Linked DNA regions of Drosophila melanogaster. The protein of the gene in region 1 interacts with the protein of each later gene in a pairwise test. Each region holds a gene or a part of one and is shown in the gene's direction. Other genes may lie near its edges.

The links.
Region 2: the proteins of TfIIEalpha (region 1) and TfIIEbeta interact in a two-hybrid assay, tested with the Drosophila melanogaster proteins (2 studies listed by BioGRID).

The regions. Positions count from the first base shown.
Region 1 is NT_037436.4:11,679,973-11,684,559, forward strand, and holds TfIIEalpha (transcription factor IIEalpha), read left to right. Parts: upstream 1-2,065; 5' UTR 2,066-2,250; intron 2,251-2,328; 5' UTR 2,329-2,339; coding exon 2,340-3,435; intron 3,436-3,503; coding exon 3,504-3,697; 3' UTR 3,698-3,833; downstream 3,834-4,587.
Region 2 is NT_037436.4:4,284,876-4,288,924, forward strand, and holds TfIIEbeta (transcription factor IIEbeta), read left to right. Parts: upstream 1-2,162; 5' UTR 2,163-2,274; coding exon 2,275-2,336; exon of another isoform or gene 2,337-2,408; coding exon 2,409-2,513; intron 2,514-2,588; coding exon 2,589-2,751; intron 2,752-2,811; coding exon 2,812-3,102; intron 3,103-3,158; coding exon 3,159-3,416; 3' UTR 3,417-3,474; downstream 3,475-4,049. Other genes in the region: CG1316 (uncharacterized protein), read left to right, coding at 1-115, 178-241, 300-397, 550-656, 724-894, 972-1,043.

The DNA.
Region 1 (4,587 bases):
ATATAATGCTTGAACTCTGCGTCTCATACAATAAAAATCAATTTGGCAAAAGTGGCGGCGCCGCGTTTTACCAATTTTCCTTTGTGTTTTTTATCGTGGCTCTTCCTTTTGCGTTCCGTATTCGCAGCGGAAAACACACAAAAACACCGAAAGAAAACACACACGCGAACGGAAAAACGAAAGCCGCAAGAAAGTCCGCCGTCTCGCAGACAGCGAAGGAAACTGCAGTAAAACGTTGGGAAAGCAGAAACACAAGTTTTTATTTGCACGCTTTTGTCGCCTGTAATTGTTGTGGCCGCCGTTGGAAAATTGTCGAGCGGAAAAGCGTGGAAAACGAGCGTTAGCGCGCACGACTCAAAATTCAAACTGCAGGCGGATGCCAACAGCGAAAGTGGAAAAGCCTTTTTCTGTTTTCCCCGCAACGAACGAGAGAGAGAGCGAGAGCCTGCGCACTGCCCGCTGCTCTCTCCCTCGCGCGCGGAAAAGAGCTTTTCCCATGGACGTAGTGCTGTAGGGTATCTATTGCTTCCTTTTCGGAAAAGCGTCTAAGCACTTTCGGCCTACTCCCCTGTCTGTGTCCACTTTTCTCGCTGAGTCTGCGCCCTGCCCTCCGCTGCAAGGTAAACAAGTTCAGGAGGAGTTTCCGCGGAGTAGTTTCCCACCCTTTGAGCGACTGGGCTTTTCCGAGCCATTCAGGCAACTCTGCAGGCTGGACGCCCGTGGGTGTTCACGTGCTGCAGTTGGCACTGTAAACATTTTAAAAGTTAAATATTCATTAATAGCAATATATTTTTATTTAATATTTCAATTTGTACAGAAACTAAATTACAGCATACATATTAGGATAAACCATCTTGCAAATAACTGAAGATTTGTTACAGTAAAGATTAAGATACCACATTCAAACGCGTTTCAATTTTCATTCATAACAACAAATATTTATATATGTATTTCAAGAAAAACCTTTATAAAAATTTTAAGTTAGAAAAGCGACAAAAAGTCAACTTATTGCAGAAGAAGTGAAACAATAAAGGCTAAATTTTGAGTTTTATATTTAGTTTTAATACTTTAAATGCTAATTTGATCATTAGTCAATGAAAGAATCTTTTTGATAGGATTTCCAGTTAAACACGAGTTTTTTTTTTGCAAAAATAATTTCTTTGGAAACTGATTCGTCGTGTTCCATAAATTTGCCTATTTTCTGTCTGTTGAATTGGCATTTGTAAACATGGAGCAGCTGATTCGGACTTCGCATTGTGCGTCCAATTATATCCATGACATTCATCGAGGACAACAGAAGTGTGTTGGCTGCCAAATAAACACGCAAGGAGACGTCTGCGCCCCCGACCTCTGATCCCGTGGAAAGTCCACCCCCGCGGCGGCTGCTTGGCTTCTGCTTGGCTTCTGCTCCTGTAGCCATGGTATTTTTTATGTGGGCGAGCCTCGTTCCGGGGGATTACACCGGAATGCACTCGAACGCAAGGCGAAGTTCGCATTAAAAAATAGACGACCCTAGACAGCGGAGCATGAAATATTAAGCACTTCGAGCGGATAAACAAAGGCGGCGAGAGGACGACTTGTTGGATTATTTTCACTCATTTCTGCGGTCAAAAACATTCAAAGCAAACAGCGCTCAGATGCGAAGTTGTTAGTAAAGCCATTGCACAAACATGTAAATGTAGTGCGTTCAAATCTGGCAAATTCCGTAGTAGTAAAAAGTTGTTAAAAGGTTATTTGGTTTCTAAAAAAATTGTTAAATGTATAAACACATTTCTACAAAATGCTTTCGAGTTAACAACAACATTATTGGTTTAAAGTAAATATAGCTAAATTATTTTCGTATTATTAAATTCTTCGCTAAATTAATGTCTCTAATAAAATGTTTTTCAACGCTACGTTTTTGAAATGAGTTTTTCAAAAGTTTGGTGTGGCAATGCCCTAAATTGTGCGGGCTAAAAATCGGTTTGAAGCGTAGCTACCCTTCTATCCAAGTGTTTCACCTAAAGGCGAGGCTTATTTAGGGGTTTTCGCGTTGCTTCGAGGACTTTCGAAGGAATTTCTTTGGCCACATTGCTGCACAAAGAAGAATTTGGCGGTGGAAATTTTATTTTTGCCGTGGAAAATCATACGAAATACGGGCAAACAGCGAGCAGATGACTGCCGGTAGACCCATGAAGATCCACGGACCCACTGCCTGCATTGAATAACCGCAAAGTGCTCTGCTTCCGGAGTTCCGGTTTCGAGAGTCTGGTAAGTGGCGTGAGGAGAGCACTCGCAACAAAAGGAAAAAATCAGTTTATATATATCTTAATAATGCCGATCCTCCAGATAAACACACAATGTCGTCGACATCGACGGCTGCAGCGAACGCAGCGCCAGCGAAGACGGAGGTGCGGTACGTGACCGAGGTGCCCAGCAGTCTGAAGCAACTGGCGCGCCTCGTGGTCCGTGGATTCTATTCCCTGGAGGATGCGCTTATCATCGACATGCTGGTGCGGAATCCCTGCATGAAGGAGGACGACATCGGCGAGCTGTTGCGCTTCGAGAAGAAGCAGTTAAGGGCCCGGATAACCACGCTGCGCACCGACAAGTTCATCCAGATCAGGCTTAAAATGGAAACGGGGCCGGATGGTAAGGCGCAGAAGGTCAATTACTACTTCATCAACTACAAGACCTTCGTGAACGTGGTGAAGTACAAGCTGGATCTCATGCGCAAGCGTATGGAGACGGAGGAGCGTGATGCCACCAGTAGAGCAAGTTTTAAGTGCTCTTCGTGTTCCAAAACATTCACGGACCTCGAAGCGGACCAGCTGTTCGACATGGCCACGCTGGAGTTCCGGTGCACCTTCTGCGGCAGTTCCGTGGAGGAGGACAGCGCCGCCATGCCCAAGAAAGACTCCCGCCTAATGCTAGCGCACTTCAACGAGCAGCTGCAGCCACTGTACGACCTGCTCCGTGAGGTGGAGGGCATCAAGCTGGCGCCAGAGGTGCTCGAACCGGAGCCCGTGGACATCGACACCATTCGAGGACTGAACAAACCCAACGCCACGCGACCGGACGGCATGGCGTGGTCGGGTGAGGCGACGAGAAACCAGGGCTTTGCCGTGGAGGAAACTCGTGTGGACGTCACCATTGGCGGCGACGACACCTCGGATGCGGTGATTGAGCGCAAGTCGCGCCCCATTTGGATGACAGAGAGCACTGTGATAACCGACACGGATGCTGCCGATGGCGCGGCCGATGCGGTGCAGACGGCAAGCGGATCTGGGCATCGCAACCGAAAGGAAAACGAGGACATCATGTCCGTGCTGCTGCAGCATGAGAAGCAGCCGGGCCAGAAGGAGCCGCATATGAAGGGTATGCGAGTGGGCTCATCGAACGCCAACTCTAGCGATTCCAGCGACGACGAAAAGGACATCGAAAATTCCAAGATTCGTAAGAAGCACCAACCATTTCTCGATCTCATCTTTTATGGGTTCTAATATACGTTTTTGTACTTGCAGCTGATGTCGACTTCGACAATTATATCAACTCAGATTCCGCGGAGGAGGACGACGATGTGCCCACTGTGCTAGTGGCTGGACGACCGCATCCGCTCGACCAACTGGACGACAACCTGATAGCCCAGATGACGCCGCAGGAGAAGGAGAACTACATACACGTATACCAGCAGCACTACAGCCATATATTCGAATGAGGGCGTCTGCAATTAGCCACGATTTCTACGTTTTCCACGAGTTTCCCATCTCACGCATAGAGTCATTGTAATTTAAGTTACCCACTAGTTCGAGCGAATGTGTACAAATGAAATGCGTATAAAAATGTGCATAAACAAAGACCGAGTTTGATACTGGGAAATATTTTGAGCAAAAAATTGTGTATTATAATTTATAGAAGCTATTGGACGTTTTCAATAATCTTCTAAATAGACAAATATTTTAAAATACATTAAAGCTCGTTATTTTCGCTTGTAAGCAAGTGCCATCTCTAGCTGGACCAACTCCCATCCCTAGTCGGTCCAATCAGCTGTGTTTGCCATTATTGTTTTTTTTTTTTCTTAGGTTTATTTAAGTGTTGCTAATAAAAAACCGAGCGGCCGGGCGCCTCTTCTTGTTCGTCGGTGGGCGTATTCAGTTTATAATAATTGGTGTGCCGCAGATAAGGCGGATTCGTAAACAAACGACGGCAAACACAACCAAACATGTTGACACTCGGCTCGTAACGCCAGCGGCTCCATTCAGTCGTGTTTTGGATGTCCATCTAGCCGGAGCCCTCGATTTCCGCGGACTGTGCGTGGTGCGGCACTCAATTCGTGCTAAAAGTGCGACAAGTTCCCTTGCACTTCGAATAGCCAACGAGCAAAAGTGTTGATTCTTTGAAAGGAAAACGGATTAAACCAACTCAGCGGATTCCAATTGGAGCAGAAACGTGATCCCGCGTGCAAAAACACACATGCAAAATAAATAACAACACCTGCTGGCTGTGTGAGTGTGCAGGCACATGCTCTTTCTGCTTGCCCTCGCATTTTTTGTGAATGAACTGAAAAACGCGCTAGTTTAGCACCGATAGTATTGATCTTTGTGCCGC
Region 2 (4,049 bases), 7.4 Mb from region 1:
GTGGCCCAGCCATCCTGTCTGGAGGTTAACGTGAGCAACTGCGTCAACCAGGATCAGCTCTGGCGTCTCTTCGACATAATTCCCGGCTTGGATTACTGCCAAATCATGCGCGAACGTAAGTGACCAACCCAGTGTGGGTTTCAAACCCCTTTTGAACTACTTATATCTCCGTTGTAGATGGACCGCGCACCAATGAGGCCTTAGTGGTGTACGACAACCCAGAAGCCGCCATTTATGCCAAGTAAACAAAGCCCTAAAACTCATTTTCATGCAGGCTTTAAAACACTATTCTTCTTTAGGGACAAACTTCATGGCCTGGAGTACCCAATGGGCGAACGCATCATTGTCAAAGTCAATGGAATGAGCTCAGCTCGCATGGACACATCCTTCATAGACAGTACGCGAGTTAAACCTATCAAGGGCTACAGGCCGCGCCATCACCTGTAGCCATTTATTAAACGCTTTTGCTTGGTTTATTTCTTAGCACATTTTTGGCTTAAAATGCATGATATTTCCTATTTCTAGACTTAATGTGGTTTTTTATTTTAGAGCGAACCAAAAAGGATGCCATCTGCAATGTTCCCTTGCCCCCAACTCAGCCACTGGCATCGCCGGACGACCAGGTGGCCCAACGACTGTTCATTGTGCTCTCAGCGGTAGGTATCACTGTACCGTGTCCAATTACCATTAGCTATAAACGTTGTTTCTTTCCCATCTACTCAGAACTTGCCGCATTCGATATTGAAGAACATATTCTCTTGCTGGTCGGGACTGATCGACGTCTACCTTCTGCCCAACAAGAACTGTGGCTACGTCAAGTATGCGGAGGTTGAGAGTGCTCAATTGGCCATTCGTACCCTAAACGGAGCCGAAATTTGCGGCACCAAAATCAAGGTTTGTACCGTGTACTCATGTTCTGTTGCTGACAAGCAAGCAATTCTAATCAATTTTAAATTTTTATCTTACTTTAGGTCATGGAGGCTGAGGAGCGAAGTGGCTCCGACGGCGATGATGGCGGTCGCAAGCGATTGAGACGGAACTGAGTGTAAGTAGCTAGTTGAGTATGCATAAATTCCGTATCTATTAATGTAGCCATAATTGAACTGAGTGTGTGCCGTGGTACGAGGTAAGTAGCTGTGCAAATTCCAAACCGAAAACCTTTTAGCGATTTAAGACAATGTGCGCCTGCTGCACTTGCCCTGTGCACCGGTTGGCCATCGATGTCCACGATACCCATGCCGCCCACTGAGCGCGAACATAATAAGCCAAACCATTTTTATCTTTCTATCTCCACAGACCCACTGACAACCAAGAACTTACAGAGAACGCAATGTACGAAAACGTAACTAACTTGAGCATACAGTCCGATAAAAACAGTTGAACTGACCACCAACCACCAAACAACGCAACAACCAACCAATAACCAAACAAGAACCACCACCACAACAACACTCTCCGTACGGAATGCCACATGAACCAGAACCACGGGGACTGGAGAACGCAGACTGGAAACGGAAACTGCGAACGAAGACCATACCCGGGTGAACAAACCAAACAGGCCAACGAAATCACCACACCCGTTGACTACTCTCTACCAATTGACTAACTCAAGTGGGTCTCGTACAGAGCACTCGTAGAAAGACCCATAACCCATACGACCTTTAAACGGAGCCAACGAAACCGCAATGCTCTTGCTATATACACAATATATGCATAGTGTCGTATATATGTGTACTCATACCGCTTAGGGGACTTTTGAATCTACCCGTGATACAGAAACGAACTCTCTGTGTAACTTGAACTCTTACAAACTTATTCCGACGAGATTCAGCCAAGCAATAAATTCAAACGCAATGAATTTCTTAAGAGTATCAACTCTGTCTCGTAAATTCACGCTAAGCCACAGCGTGAAAAATTATTCTTTTCATATATTAGATTTAAATAAACGATATTCTACTGTATAAGGCCAACAATAAATACACTTAAATGGAATAATGTTTTTTTTTTCTTTGGAAGCGAAATGGGAAACAAATTAATTCTCGCTATGCAGATTTTCCATATATATATAATAAATTTTTTTTTAAAAGCGAATGGACTTTTTGAAAGGTCGTTAAATGAACCAGTTCCGAAATGTACAACTTCAGTGTCGCAGCCCTGGTAAGTTCCGGTTCCACGGACAGCTGAGCAGGCATTGTTTAGATTTTGTAAATTGTTGATTTCTCGCAGCAGAAAGTTTTTTTTCGTAGAGCTAAATAATAAAAAAAAACATTCGAAATGGATCCAGCACTGCTTCGCGAACGCGAGGCCTTCAAAAAGCGGGCGATGGCCACGCCCACGTGAGTACCGCACTTGTGGCCCCTCTGATAAAGATTGCTTCTCGAAAATTACATGCTATCCTTTTAAAATAGCGTGGAAAAGAAGTCCAAGCCCGATAGACCAGCTCCACCGCCGCCTAGCGATGATTCCAGGCGCAAAATGCGCCCGCCCAATGCTCCCAGGCTGGATGCCACAACGTAAGTTCCTTGAGAGCCTCTGCTACTGCCAGAAATGGTTCTTAACCATGTGGAACTCTTGCATTCCATACTTAGATACAAGACCATGTCCGGCAGTTCCCAGTACCGCTTTGGAGTGCTGGCCAAGATTGTGAAATTCATGCGCACACGTCACCAGGACGGCGACGACCATCCCCTGACCATCGATGAGATTCTGGACGAGACCAACCAGCTGGACATTGGGCAATCCGTTAAGAATGTTAGCTACAGTGCGTGATAAGTTGTGGCAGGTTATTAAACCATTATTCCTCTATTTTAGTGGCTTGCTAGCGAGGCTCTGCACAACAATCCCAAGGTGGAAGCCAGTCCATGTGGCACCAAGTTCAGTTTCAAGCCAGTCTACAAGATCAAGGATGGCAAAACGCTGATGCGTCTGCTCAAGCAACATGATTTAAAGGGCCTGGGCGGCATTTTGCTGGACGATGTCCAGGAATCTCTACCACACTGCGAAAAGGTGCTGAAGAACCGATCAGCCGAAATACTTTTTGTTGTTAGACCCATTGACAAAAAGAAGATTTTATTTTACAATGACAGGACTGCTAATTTTTCGGTGGGTTATAAACACACTCTTCTAAAATCCCAGCCTAATCAATTGTACCGTCTCAGGTGGACGACGAGTTCCAGAAGCTATGGCGCTCGGCTACGGTCGATGCAATGGACGACGCCAAGATTGACGAGTACCTCGAGAAGCAGGGCATTCGCTCCATGCAGGACCATGGCCTCAAGAAAGCAATTCCCAAGCGCAAGAAGGCGGCCAACAAGAAGCGGCAGTTCAAGAAGCCCAGAGACAACGAACATTTGGCCGACGTTCTGGAGGTCTACGAGGATAACACACTAACGCTGAAGGGTGTGAACCCAACGTAGAATAGAGACATTAGATTATACAAATAAAAACCACTCTCAATGGAATTAAGTACACTCGAAACTGGATGTTATAAATTTGTTTAACCACTGCCAATCTAATTAAGAATCCGCTGTGGCCGAAATCTCATTCCTCAAGATTTATAGTACCAGATTGCTGTTCTGCCTGTGGCATTGAACTTAAAAATATGACGACCGGCACAGGGAAAGATAATTAAAAAGCAAAACTATGTAATCTTTTCCTGACATTCCCCATTGCTTTCCACACCTGATGGCTGGTGGTGTGCGTGTACGAGGGCCAGAATCGATGCTGGTGGGCAGTTAAATTGGCAACAGAGGGAAGCCGTAGCTTTAGTCTGCACTGAACAGCAGCCAAGTTCAGTTGGAATCGATTTGGAATAACCTATATTTTGGTACGGCGGTTGTGCGGGCTTATCAGGAAAATTATCTATATATTGGACTCTACAAATCTAAAAAAAGATTGTGTTGCTATTTGTAATCTATTAAGATTATAACAAGAGATCCGATATTCAGTATAGACAAAAATATAGCTCATACGACTCGTAAATCAGTCATATTGCAAACTATCGTTCGTCCTCTAACTTGTTCAATTTAAAAGATAGGGTATTCATAAGT